2 linked regions of the Rhinolophus ferrumequinum genome follow. The protein of the gene in region 1 interacts with the protein of each later gene in a pairwise test. Links are inferred from orthologs where the notes say so. Each region holds a gene or a part of one and is shown on either strand. Other genes may lie near its edges.

Region 1 (14,980 bases):
CCCAGGAAATGATTAAAGAGGAGGTATTTCTATACCACACAGTCAACTTCTTATTTCTGAAATAGGCTTTTCTCTCCCTCCATCTATCCTACAAGGTCACTACCATCTGGGCTGGTAAAGAAATGATGGGTGCATTTATAGCAGCTAGGGAAACTGTATTTTAGATTTGGAGAATTTCCCCACCTAAAACCCTCTCCTTTAATAAAAATTTAAAGTCTTTTCCTTGCGGTTTACCTGTCTTTTTTTCTTTCTTAAACCACAGCAGCAAAGTCACATTGAGGTTTCTCTCTGTGTGCAAGCACCACTGTAGTAAAACATATTTCTCACTAAGTTTTGGCTGGAGGGAAAATTATTTCTAAGTGTTTTTTTCCTTTAGCCAAGAAGTATACAGTAATTAAAACATTATTTGTAAACAGGAACAAGAAATAATTTATAGCTTGTGTGTGATCATTTCATTCTTTCATGACTTACATATTTATGTGTTTGAATAAAACCTATGAATACTAACTGGCTCTTTATTCCAGCAAATGAGACTGGCGGGGAGAGAAGAAAAGTGTGGGGCACATAATTGAAAAATAAGATGGAATGATGTATTTGAGATGCATGTGTGCCACTGAATCATTCTGTGACTCTAACTAAGAAAAACACTTCGTGCTCTGATTCTCTACCTGGAAGATTATGATAATATAACTGCCTGGAAAATATGGCATGAGAGTCTGTTTTTTTAAAAAGGGAGAATTTTTTTTTTTTAATTTTTGAACTTTTGGGTGCAAACAGGCAAACATTCAAAACAAGAGTCTGGGAAATTAGAATCCTCATTAAGCCTGAAACATTTTATCCTTGGTTAACAGTTTGTAATATTTGAAGAAGCTTCTTTTTAAATATGGGGGTTTCACCAAATAGTACTCATACATTGTTTAGCCAGAGAGGTAGAAGAATGTGCAGTTTATAAAAGATGAACCACACTTGGCCAAGAAACATATAAAACAATTACCATCTTCACTAATAATATAAAAATGGCAAACTAAACAATGAGCTTTTTCATTTTTCAAACTGGAAAAAAATTAAACAGTCTGATGATATGGTGATGATATGGTAAAATGCACACATGATTGGTGAGAATATAAGTTGGGATAGGATTTTCTCCTTCCTCACTGGCCCCCAATAAGTAAAGATGATTCCAGTCTGGGAGCTGACACCCACAGCGGTCACTACCATCTGGCCAGAAAAGTCCATGACATGGGTCCCTGTATGAGAAAGGAGAAGATGGGAGGAGTGTTGTTTTTTATACCTAACTATGCTTTGGTGTGAAACACAGACTTAGAAAAATACAATCCCTCTTCCTTTCTCCCTCATGGATAATGATATACTCAGCAGATACTGTGTTTCCCCGAAAATATGCCCTAGCCGGACCATCCACTCTAACGCGTCTTTTGGAGCAAACATTATTATAAGACTTGGTATTATATTATATTGTATTGTATTATATTATATTAATATTATATAAGACCTGGTATATTGTATTATATTATATTATGTTATATTATATTATATCATATTAATTATATAAGACCCGGTCTTATATTAAAATAAGACCGAGTCTTACATTAATTTTTGCTCCAAAAGACGCATTAGAGCTGATGGTCCAGCTAGGTCTTATTTTCCGGGAAACACAGTAATAGGAAAATGTCAAGATCTGGGCCCATTTAAAATAGGCCAAACAAATTGGGGGTAAGGAAAAAAATGTGTCTAACTACTTTAGGGTAAGTCTCCTTCCCCCACCCCCCACCGCCAACCAGTAGAGCCCTTCCAAGGCCTGTACAGCACTTGCTTCGTAGAGAACCTCTTTTAGGTTACCTGATATCCTTGTATTCAATCCACTAATATACTGTTGTCCCAGTTGAACCCAGAAGAAGATGGGGTAGGGTCAGAAGAGAGAGCAGGATCTGGATCAGGTCTCTGTGGCCTGGCTGTTGGAGAGGAGGCAGAATGGGAACTGGGGTGGCCACAGGCCATACCTGAGAGCAACATGGAATCTCTTTCTGGGGGACTTCTGACATGGTCTGATTCCCCAGTCAGAGACCTCTCGTCAATCTTGAGATAATTTCCATCTCAAGATAATTTCCATCTCATAATTTCCATGGGATCAGCATCCCATCTGCAGACAGCAGGTCACCTAGTGCACAGAGGAAAACTAGCAACAGGGAAAGAGCCTGGCAGAGGATGGGACCCATACAACCTCATCTCAGGGCTGCACCCACGGGCCCTACCTATAGAGCAATGGCCTAGGGTATATCTGGAGAGCCTTTGACAGACAACTTCTAGAGAGCCTTTGACAGACAACTTCTGGGACATGACAACCTGGGACATGACTCCTTTCCAGGTATTATAAATTAAAACAATTACTGATCCCCAAACACCTTCCCACGGCCTAAATATTAAATACTTTTAACCGTAAGACACACAGGGTACAAGTCTGACAATCTTTTGGGACAGTTTTAGTTACTTCTCTCTTTCCTTCCTTCAACCTCTTTAAATGCTAACCTAGGAGCTAACACAATTGGGGTCATATCTGGAAGTTTTATTTGGTTCTTTTTATAGTTTCCATTTCCTTCATTATGTGTTCCTTTAATTTCTTGATCATATGCATAATAGCTGCTTTAAAGTCCACATCTGCTAATTTCATCATCTTTGTCATTTCTGAATCTGTTTCTATTGACTGAGTTTTCTCCTGTTTATGCTTTACATTTTCCTGCTTTTTCACATACATAGCATTTTTTATTGTATACTGGACATTACAGTTATAACATGATTTAGTGCATGGATTTTGTTGTCTTTCTTTAAAGATTGTTAAGTTTCATTCAAGCATAAAGTTAATTTACTTGCAGATAAGCTGTCTCAATTTTGTTTGAGTGGGTCTACAATAGCCTTTGCTGTTGGGCTAGTTTAGCCTTATCTCTGTAAAATATATATGGAACCACTTTAAAATGGAATCTGAGCTGTCATCCCAGAGGAACTACCTTGCACATCTTATGTGTCAAACTTTTGAAATGTTAAAACAGGGCAAAATCACCTTTGGACTGGGCCTAAAGCTTCATTGTGTCCCAAAGAACTGTTTGCAAGGATAACAAGAAAGCAGACTGGCTATCAGACTGATGACTATCGGACTGAATATTAAAAACATTTCTATTGTTACAGATGTTAGCTTATCTGTAACAATGGCAATGCCTTCCATTGATGTAATTATTCCCCTTCCCTTTCTCATTAATTAACCTTGCCTTTGCCTCCTAATTTGAACGCTATTTGGGTTTCTGCGTGAATCAGTTCTTCCCTATTCCTTTTTGATCTCAAATAAATGCGTGTTGCCTTTCACTTTGGACCTTTTTTTTTTTTTTGGTTCACATCTCTAAAGTGTGGCATTTCTGAGCTCTCTGTACAAAATGCCCTAGGTGTTTCACAAGGTTTTGCCATTCCAATTGGTCAAAACTTGAATGTTTCCTGACCCTATTCAAGCTCTAGTAGTTGCTCAGCTTATAGTTCATCCAGTCATTGTTACTTAGCCAGCCTCATGTAGTCTATTCTTAAACCTACACCAACGATTCAAGGAGACCCTTACGCATATTTCTAGAACTCTTTCTCTAATACTCTGCCCTGCAAATTTCAGTTGCCCCAGTCTCTCTTCATTTCAATTTCTTTCTTCTCAGTTAGCAAGAGTACTGTATTCTGCTTGGCTTTCTTCTATCCTGTGCTTAGGTAAATATCTCCAGAAAGAAATCTGGGGAAATCTTGAGATCATCTTATTTGTTTTCCTTCTTTCCAGGATCACAGTCTTACTGTGCCAATTGTCCATTGTCTGAAAACACTTATTTCATAGATTTGGTCCAGTTTTTTATTGTTTGCGGTAGGAAGGTTGGTCTGATACTAGTTCCTTATTCATGGCTGGATCGGCCATAACATTTTAGAAATGTAATCTTTCTATTGAATAATAAAATACATACTGAAAAAATGCACAAATCTTAAATACAGCTTGATGAATTTTCACTAACTGAACACACTGGTGTAATCAACATGCAGATCAAGAAGAACATTATTAGAACTCCAGAAGCCCCTAGTGACCCTTTCCAAACATTAATACCACCTAAGGGTAACCAATATCCTGACTTTTTATTCCCCATTTATTTTTCTTTCTTTTAAAATTTTATTTTTCTTTCTTTAAAAATTTTTTTTTTTAGTTTCAGGTGTAAAAAACAATGTAATAGTTAGACATTTATACCCCTCATAACGCCCCCTCCCAATCTACTACCCCTCTGACATCGTATACAGCTGTTAGAATTCCACTGACGCTGATCCCTATGCTGTACTCCACAACCTGTGACTATATATATATATGCATACATATATATATATACATATATATAAAATTATAGTTGACATTCATTATTATTCAGCTTCAGCTTCAGGTGTACATTGCAGTGGTCAGGCATCTACACCATCCATGAAGTGGTCTCTCTAATAAGACAAGTGTCCATTGGATATCCTACAAAATCTTTACAACATTATTGATTATATTCCCCAAACTGTCTTTTGTATTTCCGAGGCAATCTTGTGGTTACCAATTTATGCTTTCTAATCCCCTCAACTTCTCCCTCATTCCCACTCCCCTCCCATCTAGCAACCGTCGGTTTTTTCTCTATATCTCTGAGACTGTTTCTGATTAGTTTGTTCATTTATTGTATTCTTTAGATTCCACATATAAGTGAGATCATATGGTATTTGTCTTTCTCCATCTGACTTATTTCCATTAGCATAATGTTCTCTAGCTCCATTCATATCATTGCAAATGGCAAGATTTCATTTTTCTTTATGGCTGAGTAACACTCCATTGTATAAAGGTACCACAGTTTGTTAATCCAGTCCTCTACCGGTGGGCATTTCGATTGTTTCCATGTCTTGGCTATTGTGAATAGAGCTGCAGTAAACATACGGGTGCGTACATTTTTTTGAATTAGCATTTTGGATTTCTCTGGATAGATACCTAAGAGTGGAATTGCTGGGTCATAAGGTAGTTCCATTTCCAGTTTTTTGAGATACCTCTATCCTGATTTCCATAGTGGCTGCACCAATCTGCAATCCCACCAACAGTACACAAGGGTTCCCTTTTCTCCACATCCTTGCCAGCACTTGTTGTTTGTTGATTTATTGATTACAGTCATTCTGACTGGAGTCAGGTGGTATCTCATTGTGGTTTTTCTGACTTCTTTACCATCTGTTATTTTTGTCTGTTTTTGAACATTATATAAGTGGGATCATGTAGTATACAATTTTTGTGTCTGGTTTCTTTCATTTAATTTTATGATTGTGACATTCATCTATGTATTGTGTGTAGTTGTTAGATTGTTCATTCTTTTTCCTGTATACTATTTCACCATGTGAATATTGTAAAATGTATTCATCCTATGAACATTCTTATAAATGTCTTTTGGTGAACATATAAATACATTTCTGTTGCATATACATCTAGGAGTGGAATTGCTGGGTTAACCCACTCCAGCAACCACTAAATTTATATAATTAGTCCAGACATTTCTTCTGAACTCCAGATTTACATATCCAAATCTGTCTGATATCTCCATTTATAAGCACCGCAAACTTAACACATCCCAAACCATTTGGTCCTCCTTCTATGTTCCCCTATGTTAATGGCTTCTTAACCCATCTAGTTATTTAAGGAGTCGTCCTTAATGCTCCTCTTTTCTTTGCCCTCCCCAGCAAACCAATTCATTAAATCCCTTGGAGTCCACCTCTGATTTACATAGGTCTCAAAATTATCCAACTCTTTCTGTCTCTACTGCCATTATCCTAGTACAAGACATCATCATCTTGGGCCTTGACTCATGTAATTGCCTCCAAACTGGCCTTCCAGCAACCCGTCCTGCCCTCTTGCAAACCATTCTCCACAAACAGCCTGAGTGAGTTTTTAAATATGTAAATCAGACCCTATTTAACACTCTCTATTAGCTGCCCATTGACCTCAGGATACATTCCAAAACACCATCTAAAATCTATAATGTGGCCAATAAGAGCCTGCATGGTCTGGCCTTTGCCTCCTCTCAGTCCAAGTTTGCTCCCTACACCCCAATCACACCGACTTCCTTTCAGTTCTTAGAACACACCAAGTTCTCTCATGCCCTGACAACCTCACACATAATGTTCCCTTGGCCTTTAACATTCTTTAAGGCTCTTTCATATGCCTGGAGCTTAAAAGGTACTTCTTTAAAGAACTTTCCCGATAGTCCAGAATTAACCCATCATCACACCCACTACTTTTTCATCACAGTTCTGATCACAATTTATAATTATGTAATGATTTATGTTTTAACATCTCTTGCTCCTATTATACTTTAGATTCCACCCGGTGTTATGTTTACTCCTGTAACCCAATGCCTAACACCGTGCTTGGCACATGGTACACAGTAAGTGCTTATTTAATAATACATGACAGATGCAAAGACGGGAAGGGGCCACAGGGTGGATATCTAGCATTTCTCTGCTAAGGTTAGGTGTTTCCTCCTGTGTGGTGGTAAATAGGGCAGGAACTGTTCTCGCTCATTCAGAGGGGTTTTCTCTCCCGCTCGGTGGACAAGCGTTTGCTGTAGGGCCGCATGAGAGACAAATTGCCTCCAGATACAGGAGGCAGGCGGAAGAGATTAGATTTATTTGAGAGGGACAGCATACTCTATCACTACAGAAGTAAACAACCTCTTGACGTAGGTGCGTGAAAAACTGCCAATCTCTCCTGGAGGGGGCGGGACTACCTTGGGCCCTGGGAAGGGGCGGGTTAGTGTGTCCTTCTCACTGAACCTGATTGGCCTGAGCGAGCGGAGAGGACGAAGGCGGGGCTTGATCCCGCCGGGCGCCTGCCGCGTTGGACGCCGGGCTGCCCCGCGGAAAGGCCACGCCCCTGTCCCACAATGCACTGCGGGCCGCGTGACTCGGAGCGGCCGGTCCCAGCTCTACAGGTACGGCCCGGCCCTTCCCAGTCCTCGTTCCTTCCCTCGCGGGGTCGCTCGAACCCCTGGCTGGCCGCTCCCCTCACGCTCCCCGCCTCCTGTCACGGCCCTGGCCCTGGCTGTGGTGTCTACAGACCTACCCAGGGCGGGAGCCAAGCCCGTGCCGTGGGGGCGGAAACCGGGTGTCATTGGAGCCTAGGAGCTCTGGAGGGGCGGCGGTGCAGGGAGTTCGTCCCCTGCGACTTGCGGGGTGTGTGGGGCCACGCGGGTGGCAGTTGCCCCTTGGCTGACCTGCCCCGGGTATGGGGCAGCCCGGGCAGGGGCACATTAGGCTGCCCCAGAGAGCTTGACGTGGCATTTCCTGTTTCTTTTAGGCAGGGTGGGATTTGACTCAGTGGCTTACTTTGCGTTTTGTGGGAATTAAATGAGCAATGAGCCCAGTGATTTGCCTTCGGAATCCTCTGATAGCCCCGTTAATGGCACTTTGGGAACGATGTGGCAGACAGACCTGCGCAGTTGGCTTGACAGGTGGAAGTGGGCTCCGAAATAGGAAGCCGAGCACCAGCAGACTTGAATCCCTCTGCCAGTGAAAGCAGCTTTGGACTTTTCCGTCGCTCCTTAGTTTCCTGGGTCATCCACCTAGGGGCAGTTGGCGAGCTTGAGAAAATTCCCTCCTACTCAGCCAATGCAGGGCCCAGGGCTTGAGTGTCAGCCACCCATCGGGAGATGCTAGGATCCCAGCTGACAGGTAGAACAGCCACTTTTTAAAACTCTGAATCACATTCCTGGTTACTGGCACTTGCTCATGTGCTGAGATTATAAGGAATTAGGCAGTACCTTAAATAGTACCTACAATTTGTGGTATATGAAGGTTGTAGTTCAGTATTCGAATCAGACATCTGTGACCATACCCTCAGTTAATGGAACATCTGGGTGTTTCCTATGTTGAGAACCATGATCTCTGTTTAGTGCTTCTTTTGGTGTATGATAGATTTTTTAAAAAATCTAAGTATATTTTATATTGGTGTATGAAAAAAGCCCAGGTCTTATCGAAAGGGGGTGCCTGGGATCTTTCTATGTAGCTGAAAGAAGCATGGATATATTGAAAGGCAATGTCTCATAGGGTGGTTAGAGTCAGGCCTGGGTTTAAATCTGTCACTTGCTAGTTTAGGGATTGAATAAATTATTTAATCCTTCTGAGTTTGAATTTCCTCAAAAGTAAAATAGAACGGATGAAACCTATCTCATAGGTTATTGAAAGGCTCATATGAGGTAATGTGTATAAAGTGCCTGGGAAATAAAGGGCAGCCAATAAATAATAATAGCAAACAATAATGTACTTTTATTCTGCAAGGCTGTGGTTCAGATTCTTTACATGTTCCTGTGAGGTAGATACTATTAGTATCTTTAAAATATCCCCATGAGATAGATACTGTTAGTAGCCACAATTTACAGGTGAGGAAGTTGAGTATAGAAAGACACAGCTTGCCTAAGTTTACACAGTATATGGTGGAGCCAGTTATTGAGCCCCGGTAATCTGGTTCCAGAGTCCATCCTGTTAGCTAACATACTATACTGCCTCTTAAAAAAATGTAAGCTGGTCTTTTATTATTAATCCAAAATGAATAGCTAGATTCTGTATCACTGGGTTCTTGCCCCTTGTTGGTTTTAGGAGATTGGTGTCGCATAGTGATGTAGAAATACAAGAAACTTAGGTTTAAGCACCACTTCTGCCATACATTAGCAGTGTGGCATTGAGAAAGGGAGCCTCCCCCCGTTGCCTCATCTGTAAAATGAAGATTATATCTCCCTCTCAGTTTGTGAATGATGATGTGTTACACAAATGTTCCTAGATGAGGGTCTGCACATACTGTGTAATGCAAACACCTGCAATAGGAGTGTCAAAGGCTGCTGGAGAGGTTGCGGGGGGAGGTGGGGAAGAGCAAGTTGCAAAATAAGTTCTGGTTGTCCTTGGTACCCTTTCCACTTTTCCTCTTCAAGCTCTGTTTGCCTTCTTGCTAAACTATTGCTGTGCAGGACCTTCCTTTTTCTCTCAATCTTGCCCCCACCCTGTGCAGTATAGTAAGTGTAGCTTTCTCCCCGAATGACATCCTCCCTCCCCCAATTCTCACAGATCTCTGTTAGCACTTTTAATAAAATATGTTCCAAGGTAGTATTTCCCAAATTTTGGTACCGTAAGATACACAAGATAATTTGAGTGATAAACAGATGAACATTTTTTTAAAATTCTCCAGAATTTTCATACACATTTGAATGAAACCCCAAAAGTTCTCTGTTTTAGTTTATATTAAGAGAAAAACCTAACACCTCAAAACTGATTTCACAGATGCTATTGCTAAGGATAAGGCAATAAATAAGTCAAATGAAAGACCTATACTAGGTACATAATAGTACAGGTGGGATGCGGATATGGTAAGAATTCTGAAAATGGTACTTGGATGACTGGAGTTTGGGACATAATGACCTAAAATAAAATAAGAGTGATTAACCCAAAATGAAATGTTTTTAATCTTTAAAGAAAGGCATTTATGAAAGCATATTGCTAGAAAGTAGATATAAAATGTACTTATATGTTTGGTTTGTTTATTACTGTTTGAGAGATTGCCTTCCTGGTACCTTGGACCCACAGGCATTACCCCACAAGTTTCTGAAGAAGAAAGGTCAGCATCTTGTTATCTAAAAGGTTGCTAACCCCTGCTATGGAGGTGTGGTATTATGAGAGTTTCTTTTCTTTGGCCTTTACATAAATATTTACCCAGACCTATCTAGATTCTAATTTGGGCTTTTTCCTCTAGCATTTGCTATTGGGGAGAGGCCAGTACTCAGAGTCCCTGTGAGTTTTCTGCACTGTCTAAAGGCATATGTAATATTTTTCCTATGTTAAAGGTAAGGGAAAATAGACCAGTGGCATAAAAATGTATCTATGGCCCTGATAACACTACTTCTGCTCCTAAATTGTCACTCTAAATCTATCACTCTTAATTGGCAAGTATCTTAACCTCTCTCTTTCCGCAGTTCCCACTGACTCTTCCTTTGTTTCCCCAACCACCGCCTTGCCTAGACTCTAAGGGTACTCTAACCCTAACTTGGCCTTGATGTAGACAGATGCCTCTTCATACTAGCACAGTCCAGATAAGATGAGCTTTTTGGTTTTGTTTTTGGTTTTAAAAAACTGCATTAAGAATCCATGGTAAAAAGAAAAAAGAAAGGGTGGGTAATATTTATCTAGTTGATAGAGGGGAAATTGTTTATCCTAAGGTAATTGAAGTCTATTTACAAATTAGTCAAGCCTGGCATTGCTCATTGGACAGTCATCTCAGGTTTTTTTGTTCGGTCTGGATGGGAGGTCAGTTGACTCTGGGAGGAAGAGACTTTTTCTCAGAAAAATCTTATCTTCTGATAAATAAAAACAGTTTTTTGACAGCCTTTTAAGAATTTTGGTTACAAGCCTAAAGGTGTGTATTAGGAATATCTGAAATAAGTTTGTCTAACTGTAGTTTTCCAATTAGTAAAGTGGTGTGCTACACAGCTTGCATTGTTTGCTTTTTTCATCTGAATTTCTTTAATTCTGGGCTGATGCTTCTTGATGGTAGGAACTGTGTATTCCTAATGTCTGCCATAGTCCCTGGCACACAGTACATACTGTTAAAAACAAAATTCAACAGTCATTTGGAAGATCTAATTGGCTTTATTAAGCGAGTCATGAGTCTGGCACGTTATACACAATGGAAGGTTTTTATAGGCAGAAAGAGGGTGGAACTAAAGAGTTCAAAGTAGATTATTTTAGGCAAGGAATGGCAGGGGGTCTTACCAGGCAGATTACCTCACTAGTGGATCGGGAAATTCCAGAGTGATTGGTTTAAAATTCCACTTCTGGGAGAGGCTGAAACTGCAATTAGATTAGGTATTTAATCTAGGTTTGTTATTATAGGTATTTATCACAAGTGATGCCATTTTGGGCCTGTGGCTCTTCCTTTTAACAGTACTCAATAAATGTTAAATGAATGGAATTTACAGGTTGGTATTCTTTTCTCAGTATATGTTTTAGGAAGTATGAATTTTATCTTTGTGCCTTTCAAGTCATAAAGAAGAAAAGAGTAACTTTGAAGATTACATGAAAGTTGGCACCCTATAATAAAGATACTTCCTAATTCTGTTGGGATCCTAAAAAAGATCAGGCATAAAAGAGTGCAGTCTGCTTTTAAAAACTAAGTATATGGATGTTTGGAAACTATAGATCACAACCCTGCCTTCATGTTAATTCCTGGAGTAGTCCTTGTGTTACAGTATACTTCTGTAAAGACAAAAGTTTTATATTTAAATACTAAATGGTTAAGGATACGAAGTAAGACATTTGCCTACTTTCTTACACTGAGGCTAAATATAGCAATTGTTTAATTAAATAAAACGTGTTAACAATTTTTAAAAGGGGATTATAGTATAGATATTATCCCTTGAGGGATCTCAGCTTTCTCTTTTTATTGCTTTTAGAATAGAAAAAAAATGATTTGGATAGTCATGTTGGAACTTTAGTTGAGAAGGATAGGTGTTAATTCTTTGAATGTTTGCTAAAATTCACCTGTGAAGCCACCTGGTCCAGGATTTTAGTATATGGGGAGTTTTTTGATTACTGATTCAATTTCATTTGTAGAAATCAGTTGATTCAGATTTTCTGTTTCTTCTTGATTCAGCCTTGGAAGATTGTGTATTTCTAGGAATTTATCCATTTCTTCCAGATTGTCAAATTTGTTAGCATGTAATTTTTTGTAGTATTTTCTTTTCTTTTTTTCTTTTTTTTTAAGGGGAAGAGGACTTTATTGGGGAACAGTGTGTACTTCCAGGACTTTTCTTTTCCGAGTTGTCCTTTCAGTCTTAGTTGTGGAAGGTGCAGCTTAGCTCCAGGTCCAGTTGCCCGTTGCTCCAGTTGCTGTTGCTAGTTGCAGGGGGCGCAACCCAATATTCCCTTGCGGGAGTCGAGGAGTTGAACCAGCAAACCTTCCGGGAACTCAGCAGCAGCTCAGCTCAAGGTGCCCTGTTCAATCTTAGTTGCAGGGGGCGCTGCCCACCATCCCTTGCTGGAGTCGAGGAATTGAACTGGCAACCTCGTGGTTGACAGCCCGTGCTCCAACCAACTGAGCCATCCAGGGGGGCAGCTCAGCTCAAGGTGCCATGTTCAATCTTAGTTGCAGGGGGCACTGCCCACCATCCCGTGAGGGACTCGAGGAGTTGAAGCGGCAACCTTGTGGTTGAGAGCCCACTGGCCCATGTGGGAATTGAACCGGCAGCCTTCGGAGTTAGGAGCATGGAGCTCCAACCGCCTGAGCCACCAGGCCGGCCCCTGTAGTATTTTCTTATAATCCTTTGTATTTCTGTGGTATCAATTGTTACTTCTTTCATTTTTGATTTTATTTACTCAGGTTCTCTGTTTCTTGAGAGTCTGGTTAAAAGTTTATCAATTTTGTTTATTTTTTCAAGGAACTAGCTCTTGGTTTCATTGATCTTTGGTATTGTTTTTTTTTAGACTGTATGTCATTCATTTATTCTCTTACCTTTATTATTTCCTTCCTTCTACTCACTTTGGGCTTTGTTTGTTCTTTTTCTAGTTCCTTTAGGTGTAAGGTTAGATTGTTTGAGATTTTTCTTGTTTGTTGAGTTGGCCTGTATTGCTATGAATTTCCCTCTTAGAACTGCTTTGGCTGTGTGTGTCCCATAGATTTTTGAGTCATTGTGTTTTCATTTGTCTCAAGGTACCTTTTGACTTCTTCCTTGATCTCATTGTTGACCCATCCATTGTTTAGTAGCATGTTATTTAGCCTCCACTTGTTTGTGTGTTTTCAATTTTCTTCTTGTAATTTATTCTAGTGTCATACGATTGTGACTGGAGAAGATGCTTGATATAACTGCAGTCTTCTTAAATTTATTGAGTGTAGCCTACCATGCGGTCTGTCCTGGAAAATGTTCCATGTGCAGTTGAAAAGAATATATATTTTGCTGCTTTTGGGTGAAATGTTTTAAAAATATCAATTAAATCCACCTGGTCTAATGTGTCATTTAAGACCACTGTTTCCTTGTTGATTTTTGGTCTGGATGATCTGTCCATTGATATCAATGGGGTGTTAAAGGCCCCTGCTGTTACTGTATTACTGTTGATCCTTTTATATCCATCAATATTTGCTTTGTGTATTTAGGTGCATGTACATTGGATGCATAAATGTTTACAAAGGTTATATCCTCTTGTTGGATTGATCCTTTTATTATTATGAAATGTCCTTTTTTGTGTCATTATAGCCTTTGTTTTAAAGTCTTTTTTGTCTGTTATAAGTATTGCTACCCCAGCCTTTTTTTTAATTTCCATTTGCATGAAATATCTTTTTCCATTTTTTTTGCTTTCAAGTCTATATTTGTCTTTTGATATGAAGTGGGTTTCTTGTATGCAGCATATGTATGGGTTTTGTTTTCTTATCCATTCAGTCACCCTATGTCTTTTTATTGGAGTATTTAATCAATTTACATTAAAAGTAATTATTGATATTTATGTAGTTATTACCATTTTATTCATATTTTTATGTTCCTCCTCCCCCCTCCTTCCCTTCCTCCTCTTCCTCCCTTTAACTAATTTCTGGTAATACGGGTTTGGTAGTAATGAACTATTTTAGCTTTTTCTTGTCTAGGAGAAATCTGCATTTCTAACTAAACTTCCAGTGATTTTTATACAAGCTAAAATTTGAAAACCACTGTGTATGTTTTATCAAAGTTTGACTGATTTCTTTCACACCCAGGCCTATGTAGTCCTTTTATCTATTTTTGTAAAGCATGACCAGAATCTAATAAAATAGGCTATTATTTTTTACTTTCTGGTAAAAAGATTGAGAACAGTATTAAAACCAGTGTTCCTTTAGCTTTAAGATTTATTTTAAATAAAAATTTTTTCTGGTTATAAAAGTAATGTGTGCCCATTGTGAAATATGAAAATTTAGGAAATTTTAAAATGATAATCACCCACTATTTCCTTGATATAAGCATTATTCTAATTTTGGTATGGTTTCTTCCAGTATCTGTTTCTCCATTTATTCCTCTCTTCTCTTTTTCTTTCTGGAAAACAACACTTACAGTTTTTATCCTGCCTTTTTTCCCCCTACCAAACATACAATCATTTTACCACATTATTAAACTATTTTTTATAAACATAACTTTCAGTTTCTGCATTATATTCTATCATATGGATGTACTATCACAGGGGTATACCATCCCCTGTTACTCAATATTTAGGTTTTTTTCAGTTATTGCTGTTAAAGGATGTTTTTCTGTTTAAATTTTGTCTGACATTCTGATTATTTTCCTTAGGTAGAGTTATATAAATTTTTTTGTGGACAAAGGCCATAAGTATTTTTAAACTCTGTTGAATATTGCCAAATTGTTTTGAGAATGATTTACTTCCACATATGAGAATTTATTATTTACTTCCATATATGAGAATTCCAGAAAGAAGCAAGTAGTTTTTTTTTTTTTAAAGCTAATTTGTTAAGGAAAGTATGGGAAGTCACCATTTTAATTAGTATGTCTTTGATTATTAGTGAGTTGAATATTTTGCACTGTTTATCAGCTTTGGTTTTAATTTTTTTTCTAATCCAAATTGTTCATTTTGTTTTAGGTCTTTTCCGTCTGTTGAAATGTCTATGATTTTATCTGCCTCAGTCCTTCGTGTCAGAGATGGACTGCCACTTTCTGCCTCTACTGACTATGAACAAGGCACGGGCTTGCAGGAGTGCAGGAAGTATTCTAAAATGCTCTCGAGGAAACTTGCTCAGCTTCCTGATAGATGCACACTGAAAACTGGACATTATCACATTAAGTAAGACTTCAGTTTGCTTCATGAAAATCACTGGCTTAGTGGTTGTCATTTTAATGAAATATAAATGATTACAATAGAAATTCATGTTTGTTTAGTT
Region 2 (15,057 bases), on another chromosome or scaffold:
CTTTTCTGCTTATAGGAGCAACTCGGTCCCAATTCCTGCCTCCAAGTCTCTCCCAGAGCCCTGAGAGTCACTGCCAAGTTATCAGGATAGCCAAATGGAGCTGGGAATCTCAGGAAAGGACACCTTTGATGGTTTGGCAACCTGACATACAAGAAATCAGGGCTGACTTGCAATTTCCTTGAGCAAGGGCGAGAGAGAGAAAGAGAGAGAGAGAGAGAGAGAGAGAGAGAGAGAGAGAGAGAGAGAGAGTCATGGAACCAGCTCCCAGTATACACACAGGCCAGTTCGGCATTCTGTACACTGCTCTGGTCTCACCCAGAAGATACAGGAACCTCTCCAAGGTAACGAGGGTCTTAATTTTGCCCTTCCTGCAACAGTAACCATAACTCGGAGAGTAAGAGCAAGAGGTGACCTCAAATGAAGGGGTCTGGCTATCGTGAGAGATTGCAGGTGAGCCGGGAGTCAATGGGGCTTTCATTCTCGGTCCTCCATCTGCAAGGAGGAGGAGGAAGAGGAGAGACCTGGAGAGGGTCGAGAGCAGCGGTAAGTAGGAACACCTATTGCATCCAAAGGAAGCACAAGCATACCTCGGAGATACTGCTGGTTTGGTTCCGGACCACTGCGACAAAGTGAATACCGCAATAAAACGAGCCACATGAAGTTTTTGGTTTCCCAGTGCATATCCAAGTGATGTTTACACTGTACTGTAGTCTATTATATGTGCAATGCCATTATGTCTAAAAACACCATAATGTATACACCTTAATCAAAAATACTTTAGTGCTAAAAAATGCTAACGATTATCTGAGCCTGTTGGAAAAATGGCGCCAGTAGACTTGCTTGGCGCAGCGTTGTCACAAACCTTCAATATGTGAAAAAGTCAGGCACACCTGCAACGATCCCCTCCAGCCCTTGGAGATCAGGGCTGAGAGGGCAAGAGGCAAAGTCTGGCAGGAGAAACAGAGAAAAGAGCCTGGGGACCTGAGGCTTGAGGACGTGGGTGTGGGGTCTTAGGAAGTCAGGGCGGAGGCAGGACTGCACCAGTCACGCCCAGGAGGGAGGCCTGATTTGACCCTGAATCTTGGCCTTGTCAGGCTCTCAGGCCCTCTGGGCCACCCCCAGGCCTGGCCCAGCTCCCCACCGGCCTCACTCCATCCTGGTGAAGAGCTTTCTGCAAAACTCTTGTTTGAAGTTCCAAGTCAGCCAGCCCCACCCCAACATGAAATCTGAGACTGGGGATAAAGCCCTCAGCCTCCTGCTGCTCTGAAAATCACTGCAACTTCCAACTAGTAGTGAAATACATCAGATTGGCTTCCTAACCATTCTTTAAGGCTTTGTCCCAGCCCGCCTCCTCCATGAAGACCCCCAAACCTTCCCAGCCTACTATGACCACTGTTTCTCTACCACCAGCACCACCAGAGCTGCAAAGGGGCAAGAAGCTCCTTGAGACTTTAGGTCCTTCCCTTCCAAGGTGGCACACAATGCATCTTGGTTTGCGCTGTTGGGTAAGTCCCCATGTGTTGTTCCCTCCTGGACTGTCAGCAACTTGAGGGCAGGAGCCCTGCCTTACACTTCTCTGTATCTCCAACAACATCAAGCCCAAGGCCTGGCACATATAAGGCATTCAGTAAATGCAAATCAGCTGAGTGAATAAGTGACACAAGGACAGGGCCAGAGAGACACTCCCTGTCTCTGAAAACCAAGCCTATTCCCTCAGAAAAAAATGAAGTGAGAGTGTGAGGCACAGAAAACAGGGGGTAGACAGCCAACATTTATTTAGTGCGTATTTATTATTTATTTAGTGTGTGTTAAGCTCTAATAAGTGTTTTGTATATGTTCTCATATTTAATTCTTACCACCAACTCTACGGACAGACGTATCATCAGTTCCATTTTACAGGTGGGAAAAGCAAAGGTCACAGATTTTAATTAACATTCTGAGGTTTGTACAGCTAATGCCTTGTGGGTCCAGCATTGACAGCCAGGTCTGCCTGCTTCTAAAGCCCACTCTCTGTCCACTTAGCATCACCCCCACCCCACGCCCCAAAAGAAAGATGACAGCCAACTTTGCGGTTTACCCACAGCCCAGCAGGGGTGGAGAAAAAAGGACAGAGGGATTTGGTTTCTCCTCCTCCCACAGGAAGGGGCTCCTATTCCCAAGTTTGCTGTTGTCCATTCACCCAGATAAGGGTCCCCAGGATCAAGACTCGAGCAACCTGCCCCAAACCCCTGTGCCACACACAGGCACTCCTAGAACTCTAGGAACTGTGCCACTGACTCTGGCTCTGGCTATTCAGAGATAGGCTGAAGTCAGAGGCAGGAAATCAAGGAAAGGTTCTGATATCTTGTGCCCTGTGTGTTCTCTTGTTCCAGGCAGCCTGTTCAGGGTCATCCAATCAGGCAAATAGCCCGAGTGCCTGGCTATCTGGTCATTCCAGGGGCAGGACCCCTCTGGGCCCAGCAGGAGTGAAGAGGTTACATAGGGTCTTCGTGGACAAAGAACAACACACACACACACACACACACATACACACACACACACACACACACTCCAGGCTCCTGATCTTGGCTAATAACCCTCCAGTGTCTGTGGACTGACAGAGCTGATATACAGTGTCTGAGTTCTCTGTATTTCCCCCTTTCCCTCAAACTTGGTCTTGGTGGGAGCCCCTGGCACACAGGGGCATAGGTAAGTCCCCCTCCTGTATTGGCTTCTCTGACTTTGACAGCTGTCTCCTCTGTCCCAGAAAGTTGCCGCACTGGTGGGGACCCCGGGGCATCCAGGGAGCATGATCTCAGAGGATCCCTTTCTTCTTCCATTTGGGCTGGGTGGTGGCCTCAGGAAACCTGCTCCTTGGAGATGCAGGCCACCCCATACCAGGGAGAGAGATGTGCAGTCTCAGGGCAGCCCAGACAGACAGGCTGGAAAACACTAATGTCCTGGAGCTGGAGACAGGGGAGAAGGAAAAAGTGCACACGCGCGCGCGCACACGCACACACACACACACACACACACACACACACAAACACTCACAAGAGTTTGGCCAGAAAAGTTTCCTGCAGGAGGAAAAGCCTCCTTGGCCGCAGGTTTCTCTCCGGACCCAGGGAGCTTTCCCCAGGAATCCTCTGGGAAGACAAGAGGCAGAGGCTTCCACAAACAGCGCAAAAGTTCAGTCCTAAAAGTCCCCCAAACTTCCCCTCCCTCCTTCCCTCCTTCTTTTGTTCCCCACTGCATTGCCAACCAGGCAGCTCCCGGCTTCCCACACCGGACCGTCCTCCCCCCACCCCGAATCTCCGGCAGTCCGCGCCTCCGGGCCAGGCCTCCCCGCGCCTGGCCCTCGCGTCCCGCCGGCCCCGGGGTAGGGGTGCCTACCCGCCTTGCAGGGGTCTTTGTAGTTGAGGGGCTCCCAGTCGTCCTCCTCGCCCAGGTCATAGGTGTAGTCGGCCAAGTCCAGCGGGCGGCTGGGGCGCGGGAGCAGCAGCAGCCCGAGCAGCAGCGGCAGCTGCAGGCGGGCCACGCCGGGCATGCTGGCGGCGGCGGGCTCGGTGGCGTTGGCGGCGGTGGCAGCGGCGGGTCGCGCCCGGACGCGGGAGCGGGCGAGGGGAAGCGGAGCGCTGGAGACGAGGGGGAGGCGCTCCCCTCCCCGCCCGCCGCTCTCCCCGCCCGCCCGCTCCCCCCGCGCTTACCACCTCTCCCCTTCCCTGCGCTCGCCGCCCTCCTTCCTGTCCCCCGCCCCTTGGCCGCCCGCTCGCGGCCCGCTCCCTCCTCCAGTCTCTCCGTTCCCTTCCCTTCTTTTTCTCCTTCCTTCGCTCCCGCCCTCCCTCCTTCGTCCCCCCCTTTAGGGAAATGAGCTCGCTGGGGGGCGGGCTCTCGCCCGGAGATCGGCCTCCTGGGGGCCGGGACCACGATCCGCCGGCCCGGGCGGCGCGCCAGCCGGGGCGGGGAAGACGAGCAGCCGGCCCGCACCGGGAGGAGGCTCGGGCGGCCCGGGCGCGGGGCGCGGGCCGGAGAGGGGTGCGGGCCCCGGGGTGCTGGCGGTGACCGCCCCCCCCAGCTGCCCTCTAGCGGTGTTTCTCCCGCGCGCGCCCGGCCCGAGCCCCTCCCGGTGCGGGACACGCTGTCAGGTCGCTCGCGCCGCCTGTGCCTCGCTCTTTCCTTTGGTCACGACCCGCGCTTCTCAGCCTGCATCTCTCGGTCTCTCCCTTGCTCGGATCCTTGCTCTGTCTCACTGCGGTCCCTGTCCCTAGAGTTGTTTCTGTCTCCCGCCCTCTCCCGGGAGACACCACTGGAGGGCGCCTAAAGCCCGTTGATCGCTCCCAGGTCCCCTCTCCCCACCATCACCCTGGGCCAGAAAGAGTGGGAAAGCCACCTTTGCTCCTCAAGGCCCTACCCTCCCCTCCCCCCCACCAAGAGCAGGACCCCGGGACTGTGGGAGGGGAGAAAAGGGACACCCTTTGTTTTTCAATCAGGATGCTTTATTCTCTTGTGGTAGGAGCCCTCTGATCCCTAGGAGCCACCTCTCATCGGACTGTTCCCACCTCCCACCTCTCCCCACAGATTCCCATTTCTCTAGGGCCAGTTCCTGTAGTGTGTGTGGCAGGAGCAGCTCCCTGCCTGTCTGCAAAAGACCTTTTGCTCATGGATCTTTCCTGTCCCCTTGGGGCTTCCGCATGCCCTGCAAAGCAAAGAAACACTGTATTATGTGAGGGAGAGGGACTGGTGGTGGGGTCGGGGGGCTTGTCTGTGAACCTGCCCTCCCTTGAGCTCCCTGGGTGATCGGCCTCAATGGATTCCCGTTCCAGGTCAACTGACAAGACAAGGTGGCCCAAGCCCTCTTGGGCCACTGCTACTCCCGTGCCCTGGAGGTCACACCTGCTCACCTGAAGGATCCTAGATGTAGTAGAGGGGCACCTCACCACACAGGGTGTTCACGGTGTTGCCTAGGAAGTCCAGGTCCCCATTGGATGCTGAGCCAGTGTCATGGCCTTTCTCCTGGCTCAGCTTAGCGGGAGGCACTTCAGGCTTCACCTGGAAAGTACACCTTATTTGGTGCCTGGGAGCTGAGTTTCACCTGTGGCCCTCGTTGTGGGACCTCAGGCATGTGAAGCAATCTCTCTGAGCCTCAGTTTCCTCACCAGTAAAGAGGGGTCTGTGCTGGAGTCAGAAGCCCCTATGTGTGGTGTGGGCTAAATTGAGGCCAGCAGCTTGGAGGTGGGGTGGTGGGGCGGGTCTGGGGAATGGGTAGGGAAGGTGTAGAGCAGGTGAGTCTGGAGAGGGACCCTTCCCTGGCAGCCCCAGAGGAACAGCACTTTACAGGGTCAGAACTTGACAACGTGCTCCCAACTCCTTGTGCCACACACAGGCGTTCCTAGAAGTCCCAGCAGCCTCGGGAGAGAGACAACCCATTCCTTCTCGCCCTCACACCCACCTGGAAGTTCTGGAATTTCCTAGTGAGAGCCTCAAGACTGGGGATGGCCTCCGGAGCCATCTTCATGATGTAGCAGTAGGTTCCTGGTGCCGGCTTGTAGGCAATCAAGAGCTGGGCATAGGAGCCCCAGAGGTAATTAGGGAATGAGCTAGGCCCTGTCCTGGGCCTTCTCCCTCTAGGTTGGGCACAGGAGGGAGTTATATTGGAATTTGGGGCTCAGGCACCCCCAGGGGGTGCAAAAGCACTGGAGTATGGGGAAAGATGGGTGTGTATGACGTAGCACAGCTGGGTGGATCTAGCAAAGTCCTGTCATGGGTCCCCTGGGGCCAGGGTCAAGAGGTCCAGGCACACTCACCCGCTGGTAGTCATACACTACAATGCCAGTGGAGCCAATGGAGAAGGTGGCAGTGGTGCCCACACGCTCACTCAGAGCCAGGCGTTGCTGAGCTTCCGGCCCCGCAATGCTCATCTCCAGGACCTGGGGGAGGGCACGGCGCGGCCTGGCATTCCTCTTTCCCCACTTGTCCCTTCAGTACTCATGCCCACTCTCAATCCCCTATACTCAAATGCAATTCCTTCTTCCCTGAGAGCTCAGAGAGGCTGAGTAGAACCAGGTGCTGGAAGGAACAGGCTGTCCCCAGGTGGGGTAGGGGTGAGGGGAAAGCCCAGGCCAGGTTGGCCACCCTGCTTCTGCCTCTGTCCTTCCACGAGGTGCCCCTTGCCTCCTCCTCTCATTCCTCTTGGACAGTTTGCTGCCTACCCAGCCCCCCAAGCCAATCTGTCTGGCATGCCCTGTACTTCCTGCCCACTTCCTCCCAGGCCTGCTTACCATCTCAGTATGTTTCTGGCTCATGTGAAGACCCATGAGCAGGGCCCCTACAATCACCACGACGACCAGGACCACCACAACGACCACGATGAGAAGGCGTTTGAGGTGCACAGGGCAGCAGGGGATGCCCAGCCGGCCCCGGGGGGCTGCTGAGTAGTCCTGATGTGGTGGGGTGGGGAGGAGACAGTTATGAAGTCATGAGGACACCCCTTCTCCCTGCACTAGCTGGACACCCTCTCACGCCCTCCCAGGGCTGAGCAACCTATGCTATGGTCGTGCAGAGGAAGGATGAGGAGATCAGAGGAGGAGGTGGCCTGGATTCCAGCAAACCAACAGATGCTTAGAAGTGAGGTCTGGCTTGGAGAGACCCGAGACAGCCTATTTCACTAATGATATTTCCCGCTGTTTCCTCCAGACCCCTGGTACCTCCGCCACGCCCACTCCCTCTCTGTTCCCCAAACAATTCATGCTCTCTCACACCTCTGTGCCTTTATACCTACCGCCCTTCTTTCTGAGTGCCTTCCTCCTTCTCCACTTGGGGAGCTCCTGCTTATTCTCCTGGAGTCAGCTCGAATGTCATTTTCTCTGTGGTTCTTCCTATGACTGTCCAAGCAGTGGTTTCCTACTCAGTGCCCTCTACAGCCCTTTCCACTGACCTCTGTGGTGCCATTCAGCCACTCATATTAGAATCATCGGCTGCCATGTCTATCTCCCCCAAGGACTCTGTCATAGTGATCGGTGTCCCTGCTCTAACTTAGCACAATCCTAGGTCGGTTAAGCGAATAAATTTGATGGGGAAATAAGCCCAGAGAGGCCCACCACACACACGCACACACACATGTTCACACTCACCGGTGGGCTCTCCATCAAGACTTCTTTGCTGCCCACATCCATCTTGCTGCAGGCACCTTCCCCTCCTCGTCTCCTACGTCTCCTATGTGTGAGACTGGGGTTTTATATGTGCCAGGAGGGAGAGGGGACAGAGGTGAAGGGCCCAGCAACCATCTGCCAGCCAAGCCCTCAGCTTTGAAGCCTGTTTGTTCCTGGCCCTCCAGAACCACGGCCCTGATAAGGCAGCTGCAAGAGCACCTAAGGGCCCTTGCTCTGGCACGTGAGTCCTCTTAGCCCTGGCGAAAGCAAAGCTGGGTGAGTTGAGCAAACTTACCCTTGGGCAATCTGCACCTCTCACCGTGGGTATCTTCCTGGCATGGCCACTTTTCTTGCTGGCACCTGTCCTTGCAGTCCTGTGGCTTTCCCTGTTCTTCCAGGCTGTACCTCTCAGGCAGCCAAGGGTCTGGCCCAGTGGGAAGTCCATCATATTTCCTACAGGATTAACCCGAGCATAGGGATACGCTTCAGGAATGGGAGTGAGGAAGCAGTGTCTGTGGCCCCAGATCGTGCACTGCTGAAGGCATCAGTATGGAGGTTCATAAATCATTCATAAGTTCTCTGGGAGCATTCAGATTTTGACCTCAAGTACTCTACTTGCTGTCTACCACATTTCCTTACCTAACCTCAGACATGCCCCCAGCTATTCTTTTCCAAATTCTGAAAACTCTGTCCCCTCCAGTTACAAATTCTTACTAACATGAGGTTTTCCATTCTTTGCTATGGGCTTGTTTGTTTTGTTTTTTTCCTGCTTTTATTTTATTTGCATTTATTTGATGCTGAATTTATTCCCAGGCCAACGTTTTTGTTTCTTCCGTTTCTTCTCCTCTGTGCAACCTCCTCTTCTGGTTTAGGAACAATCTGCTTTTCTCCAGTAAAGATCATCCCACTGTGGCAGGGGGAACTCATGTAGGGGTTCATCCCCCAAGAGTTCTATAAGTTCTGTACCTCATCTTGGGAGCTTTGTTCACCTGGGGGGTTCATCCCCCAAGAGTTCTATAAGTTCTGTACCTCATCTCGGGAGCTTTGTTCACCCGGATGTGCTCCATGACCAGAAAAATCTACATCTAAACCCTCAGCATTCCTCACTACATTTCTAAGCATGTGCAACAGAAGTTCTGCACTCTTTTTGGGCCACCGACCCTGCATCCAACCCCACTGTTTGACCTGGGCACACCTACCAACTCCACCATTGTGACGACAGAATGGCGCATACGGCTGTCAAGTGACATCCTTTAGATACTTGGTGGCTTTTCGGACATACATACCCTTGATGGCCTGGGCAGTTTCATGAGTGTTTTTTAAAATAAACACAAAGACTTGAGCCTCTTGATTTGCGTGACTTTGTGGGGTGTTCTGCGTCAAGTGAATGGCAAACCATTTTCAGAGCTCAAACTGAAGACGTTTGATTGCAGATTCCACACCTGACACTTCTTTCTTCTGTCCAGAAAGCCTTGCACCGGGCTGGGTGTGGTGACTGATGGGCTCCCAATCTCTTCACCCCTGAATCAGCGCACTTCCTTGGTGCTGCCATCACCCTTCCCTTCTGCACTCTTCCTTTGACATCCTCTGATCCTAAATTTGCCTGGAGAACACTACTTGCCCAAATGGGATCCACTCTGTGGACCTTCTCCTCCCCTCTATCTCTTTCCTCCTCCTTCCCAAAGCCATCGCTGTTGCTTCGTTGTGCTAAACAAGCCTACTGATGGCTGTATCCTTTCTCTCAGGTTCCCCTCTGCTTGCTGGGACAGGTGTGCTCTGTGGCACCTTTAACTCTAAACTTTCCCAAGTGTGTAAATCAGAGCCCCACACCTCGCTCTTCTCTTGGCCTCCCTCTAGTATCTTCCTTATACCGTAACTCCAACACTTCATCCCAATTCCTGTCCCTTGCCCAGGGGCTCCCTCGCACCTTGGCCTTGCCCTTCAATCCTGAGCAGACCCCCAACTCTTCAGCCCTGGCAGGTTCCCCTGTCCCCACAACAACCCCCTCTCCAGCTGGAGGGCCTTCAGCCTCCAGATTGCACAACAGCATGGCATCTGAGCTGAGAGCCCCTGAGAAGATTGGAGAAGGAGAGAAGGAAGGAAATGTTTGCTCCCACCACCCACCTCACTGCCCCACCCCCAACGGCCCCTTTAAATATTTGCCTAAGCCTCTAGCAGCCAGTGTCCTAGGAGGAGTGAAACAGGGGGAGAGGGGTTCATGGAGGAGGGGGAAGCGGCCTCCTCTCAGTGTGCAGCCTCAGCTGTGTGCAGGTGCCAGAGGCAGAAGACAGCCCCCAGAGCCCCCACTCCCACCCCCAGTTGTCCTGGCAACACTGGGATTGATCGCTGACTCACACATACTGGGCCTGCGCCAGGTGGGCAGCAGGCCAGCGGGAGGGCCAAGGATAACTGCAAGCATCAGGAGGTCCCTGTGGGCATCTCGGGGACTGCCTAGTCCAGCTGAGGAGCTTGTTCTGAACAGGTGCTGTTGGCCGGGCTTGCCATCATCACAGGGTGTGGGAAAGGGGGCTCTTTCTGGGAGAGAAGCCTCGGTCCTCTCCGGTCCTCAGTCTCCCCTGCAGGCTGCCCTTAGGCTGTGCTTCTCATAAGCTTTACAGTTCTTCCTTTCCTTTCCTTTCCTTTTCCTTCCTTCCTTCCTTCCTCTCGTTTTTGCCTGTTTGGAAGTTGGGAAGGAAGGATGCCCTCCAGTTTCGTAAGGGAAGTTCAGATGCTGCCAGCAACCTGGTAGAGATCTTGGGAAATGTGGAGAAGGAAGGAGGGAGGGCGCTTTAGCTGGTCCTGCATAGCTGTCCCTTTGCTCCTCACACTAGCCCTCTACTGCAGGCTTCTCTCTTCTTGTCCTTTACTTAGGCCGGTTTTCCCTTCTGGAAAGCCCACCCTCAACACCTCTCCACCTCTCTGAATACCACCCACCCTAAAAGGCCAAACAAGAACCAATAGCACCTACTCTGTGACCTTACCGCCCCAGCCTACAGGGTCCCATCCCTCCTCCAAAATCTCCCAGCCTCCCTGACACATGTTTACCTGCCACTTAACACTCCCTGATGGTCTCATCAGCTATGTGGGTGCTTTTTGTTGCCTTACCTACTCAACCTAGCTGCCAGCCATGAGACTGGCCCTGGGATCAAGCTTTCCTGAGGATTCTTTGTACCTGCCCCAGAGCAAGGAGCCTGCACGCACCCAACGTGTAATTATAGTCAACGATAAGGCTATCCCCACACATGTGGGGGCTCGTTGACAAACGGTCAATAGTTCATTCCTTCAGTATGTGGAGGACTCGGTGATTCACTGGCCTGCTCTGGGACCCTGAATGAGACATCCTATCTTTCTAGGCTTTAGAGTACTCATCTGTGAAATGGGACTAATACTGTCTGCCTGTCCCCAGCTCCAGGCTGTTGTGAGAATCCAATGACATCATGATGTGAAAGTCCATGATTATCACTATTTACTTCAACTCCCAGGGCAGGTCTTACTAGAGAAGGACCCTACTAAGAGTAGGACCCCGCCTCCCCCTTTCTGTCTGTCTCTGGGTTAAAGCCTCTGAGAACTGTGGCCGTGGAAAGCCCCACAATAGCCCCTCCTTCTATGTGTGTCTTCCCTGTTTCTCCTTCCAGCCCCTCAGCTGCAGGGGCGGGACAGGATTCACTCTGCCCTTTGTGTCCTGGGCAGAGCCGTGCCAGGGACGAGTGGAGATGGTTGCCCAGCTGCCCCAGCCACCGTCCCCACCCCCATTGCTTATCTTCCCACGAGCTGGCATGGGGAAGGCAGCACGGGAAGCTGGATGCATCAAAGGGCCAGGGCATCCCTGTCTGGCAGAACATGGACTTAAGTTCAGACCAAAGAATCCCCTGCTGGCTGATGCTGGGGTCAGCTGGGAAAGCATCTTAAACCCGGTGATCTCGATTTCCTGGACTGATGTGTAAAGAGCACCAGACTGGGAGCCCAATCACCTGACTTCTAGGCTCCCCTTGTTCTGTACCTGGCAGCTCTTGGGACAGTCACCCCCTCACACACACACACACACACACACACACACACACACACACCATACACCCACACCCCAGGGAGGTAACATGGCATAGAGCAGCAATTCTCAAACTTTTTGGTTTCAGGGTCCTTTAACTCTCTTAAAAAGTATTGAGGACCCCAAAGAGCTTTTGTTTATGTGGGTTATATCTATTATTTACTGAGAAATTAAAAAAATATTTATTCATGCGTTAAAATAGCAATAATAAACCCATTACATAACATAAATAACATAAAGTTTAAGTGAAATCATTTTACAAAGCAAAAAAAATTAGAGAGAAGAATGTTATTGTTTTACATTTTTACAAATTTCTTTCATTTCTCGCTTAATAGAAAAAAATTCCAGGGTACTTTGTGAGAGCATGAAAGTGAAAAGGGCAATAATGTCTTTAATAGGAAAATTGTTTTGACCTCAAAGAGTCCCTGAAAGGTTCTCAAGGACCCCTGGGCTGCTTGGGCCACACTGAAAACCCCGGGTGTGGAAGAACAACTGTTAAGCCTGGAATTGGGCAGAGTGGATTTAAACCTCCGCTCTGTCACTTTTTTCCCCCTGGTACTATAAGTCTTACTTTTCTGTAAAACGAGATCAATATCATCTGCCTCAAAAGGTGGACAGGAGTAAGTAAGTAGAGTCCACAACACATAGTAGGTGTGATATCAAGCTTGGCTACTTTCCTCTTGGTTCTGGCCTCAGTTTCCTCATTTCTTAAACACAGGGCTGGACTGGGAAACTTCCAAGGCCCTTCCCAGCTCCAACAGGCTGTGGTTGTGCCAGAGAAATGTTCCAGAATTCCACACATTCCCACGCCGGCTTCAGTGATGACATTCCCCTTTTCCGCTCACACAGACACAATGGCACATTATGTTCATGAGCTGTGGAAACAAATGTGAGTGCAGATACACACCTGTCACTTACAACATGCCCATGAATCTGCTTAGAGGACGTGTCCCTGAGGGCAAGGCATGCACACGGGGACACCGAGGCACACACGTAGATCCCTAGTGCAGAAATGCCTCACAAGGGGATCTGTTCACGGGCCTGCAGAGACAGGTGTGCACGCTGTCCTGCCATCTAGGACGCACATGTATATCTCGCACACATGCACAGACGCTCTGGATGCCAGACACAAGCAGATGGCCCAGAGACCTCCGGTAGGGCATGCAGCATAGGGCGGCCAGGGCCGCAACCACTCCCTTCGTTGGCTACTCCCAGCCCGGGACTCCCCCCACCGCCCTGCGCGCCCCCGCGGCCGCCTCCGCAGTCCGCAGCCATCCCAGCCGGGCAGCCCTCTGCTCCGCTACTCTGCGCGCATCAATCCGAGTCGGTTCGCGGGAGCGAGCAGGGGAGAGGACTGCAGCCGGCACCTAGAGCTAGAGGAGCCCGCTCTCCGCAACCGGCAGCCGGGCCCCTCGCTGCGGCAGCAGCCGCCGGTGGCCAGGCGGTGCCAGCCCGCAGAGTGGCAGAGAGCGGTGGGGCAGGGGCAGCCGGTGGCCGGAGGCAAACCTTGCCGGCAGCATGGCGGGGCTGCGGCCCAGACCCGGCTCCCGGCTGCCGCTGCTGTTGCTGTCCACGCTTGGCTTCTGCCTGATGCTGCAGGTCAGTGCCAAGAGGCCCCCCAAAACGCCCCTCTGCCCGCCCAGTTGCTCCTGCACCAGGGACACGGCTTTCTGCGTGGACTCTAAGGCAGTGCCCAGGAACCTGCCCTCCGAGGTCATCTCTCTGTGAGTGCCCAGCCCTGGCCTGGGTGGGGTGGGGGTGGGGGGGGTGAGCCAAGATAGGGAGGAAGGCATGAACAGCTCTGGGAGTGGATGGGGAGAACCCCGCTTCCCCGCTTCTACTGAGCGTGGAAACCAGGAGGACTCCAGGGGGGTCCTCAAGAACTGGAGGTTCAAGGTACCAGCCAGGCGGGGAGTCCTGCAGTCATGCAGGCTCAGCAGCCACGGCTGGAGAAAGCAGGAGTTCATGGCCAAAATGAATCACCACCAGCAGCATCAATGAGACCTACTATGTGCAGGGCTCAGGATTGGGGAGACAGGAGGGGGTTGTTTACTCTAGCATGTGGGCCCCTGTCTGTGATGTCACACCAAGGGCAGAAAGGCTTCTAGTGGGGGGAGGGAAGGAGGCAGCAGGGGAAGGGGTAGAAGTGAGATGCACCCACACAGCACCCTGGCACGGGGCAGACACCTGCCACTGGTCTCACCAGCCACTCTGCACAGGGCCAGCCAACCTGTCATTTGCAGCAGCAGCCTCTGGAAACAAAAAGAGCACAGTGCTAATCCCCCCACTCCCATCCCAGGGTCCTATCGCTCAATAGCACCCAGCGTAACTGTGGGTGTTTGGAGGATGATGAAGGTGTGGGTAATGGAACCTTCTTTTGGCTGAGGGGGAAGCTGAATCTGCGGCCATTGGTGCTCAGGGAGGCCGTCTGGGTGGGTGATGATGAAGGCAGGCAGTGAGGAGAAGGGGAAGACAGGCCCAGGTGGAGGGCCAGGCTGGCGAAATGGCGAGTTTCCAGAGCAAGTGCCTATAGAAACCATTGCCCTGTCCACCATGCACCCCCCCACCCAGCACAGTCCCTGCATACTCCTCACAGTACTGATTCAGGTGTCCCCTGCAGGACGCTGGTGAATGCTGCCTTCTCAGAGATCCAGGATGGAGCGTTCTCCCACCTGCCACTGCTGCAGTTCCTGTATGGACAGGGCCTTGAGGAAGGCGGGTGGTGGTTTGGGGAAAGGGGTGGGCAGTGGAAGGCGACAGATCCTGGATTGGGGAGAGGAGAACCCATGCAGGTAGCCTTTGGAGATTCAGAGGCAGGTGACCCTTACATGCCCGATGGAATCTGTCACAAAAGGTGGAGCAGCCTAGAGTCAGGAGGGGTGGAGGAAGCAGCAGTTGGGGAGAAGGGCAGAGGTCTCATGCAAAAGCCAAGAAGTGGGTGTTTGGGGTCCAGTTAGGAATGGAGACCCAAAGGAATAACTTGGGTTGAGGGTGGACACTGCAGGGGAGAGGGTTCATATTAAAGACAGGTGAGCCCAGGATGTGAAGAAAAACCAAACAGAAGGAAGACCAGATAGCCTGTAATTCTAAAAGGGGCTGTTTACATTCAAAGCCCCAGTCACAAGAGAGCATACCTGGGAGTTACCCCACCTCCTTCTTACCATCAGTCCCAGATGGAGGGGTGGGGAATGGGGATAGGAGAGAGAGAGCAGAGAGAACCAGTGGGGAAGGACCCAGCCTGCCCGCAGAAATCTACACCGACTGTTTTTACCCTAGGAGCAAATGGGGACCCTGGGAGTTTCTGGGACCAGAATAGGCTCCTGCCTGGTATTGTTATCCAGGCTGCTCTGGGGTTCTCTGCTGGGGTCCCGAAGGTGGGAGGCAGGGCAGCCAGGCCTTGAGGAAACCCAGGGCTGAGGCAGCAATCATGCCCTTGGAAGCTCTAATTTTGCCTTTGTCTCTCCAGGTTACTCAACTCCAATAAGTTTACGCTGATCGGAGACAACGCTTTCACAGGACTGTCGCACCTGCAGTACCTGTGCGTGGAAAAGAAAGGGGAAATGGGCAGTGGAAGGGAGGAAGGAAGAGGGCCTGGCTGGGCTGAGAGGGGAGGTTGATTGAGGAAGCCCGGGGAAAGTGAGAGCCCTGGAATCCTCTGACTGCAGGACCCAAGCAGAGGTCATTCCATCCGTCCCTCTATCGAAACCATCCTGCCTGGATGTCTTGTCACCGCAGGCTTAATAATCTCCAGACTTGGAGTGGAAGCCTGTCTCAGGGCCATGGTCTGGAACCTAGGTGGGGTGTAAGGCAATCAGTTGGGGAAGCGGTCCCGAAATCCTGACTGATGACTGAAACAATTCTCATTTCCTCCAGCTTCATTGAGAA

Evidence for each region.
Region 2: the proteins of SEC22A (region 1) and SFTPC interact in binary tests that used the Homo sapiens proteins (3 or more experiments, as listed by UniProt). The two-hybrid records come from large-scale screens. The link is inferred for Rhinolophus ferrumequinum from reciprocal best matches to the Homo sapiens genes SEC22A and SFTPC.

What each region holds. Positions count from the first base shown.
Region 1 is NC_046285.1:47,825,080-47,840,059, forward strand, and holds the start of SEC22A (vesicle-trafficking protein SEC22a), read left to right. Parts: upstream 1-6,913; 5' UTR 6,914-7,019; intron 7,020-7,414; exon of another isoform or gene 7,415-7,758; intron 7,759-14,682; 5' UTR 14,683-14,701; coding exon 14,702-14,883; intron 14,884-14,980. UniProt on the Homo sapiens protein: May be involved in vesicle transport between the ER and the Golgi complex.
Region 2 is NC_046301.1:44,262,394-44,277,450, forward strand, and holds SFTPC (pulmonary surfactant-associated protein C), read right to left. Parts: upstream 7,605-15,057; 5' UTR 7,576-7,604; coding exon 7,423-7,575; intron 7,241-7,422; exon of another isoform or gene 7,152-7,240; coding exon of another isoform or gene 7,110-7,151; intron 6,417-7,109; coding exon 6,258-6,416; intron 5,907-6,257; coding exon 5,784-5,906; intron 5,540-5,783; coding exon 5,429-5,539; intron 5,029-5,428; coding exon 4,891-5,028; 3' UTR 4,881-4,890; intron 4,676-4,880; 3' UTR 4,472-4,675; downstream 1-4,471. Other genes in the region: LGI3 (leucine-rich repeat LGI family member 3), read left to right, coding at 12,691-12,896, 13,793-13,864, 14,639-14,710, 15,046-15,057. UniProt on the Homo sapiens protein: Pulmonary surfactant associated proteins promote alveolar stability by lowering the surface tension at the air-liquid interface in the peripheral air spaces.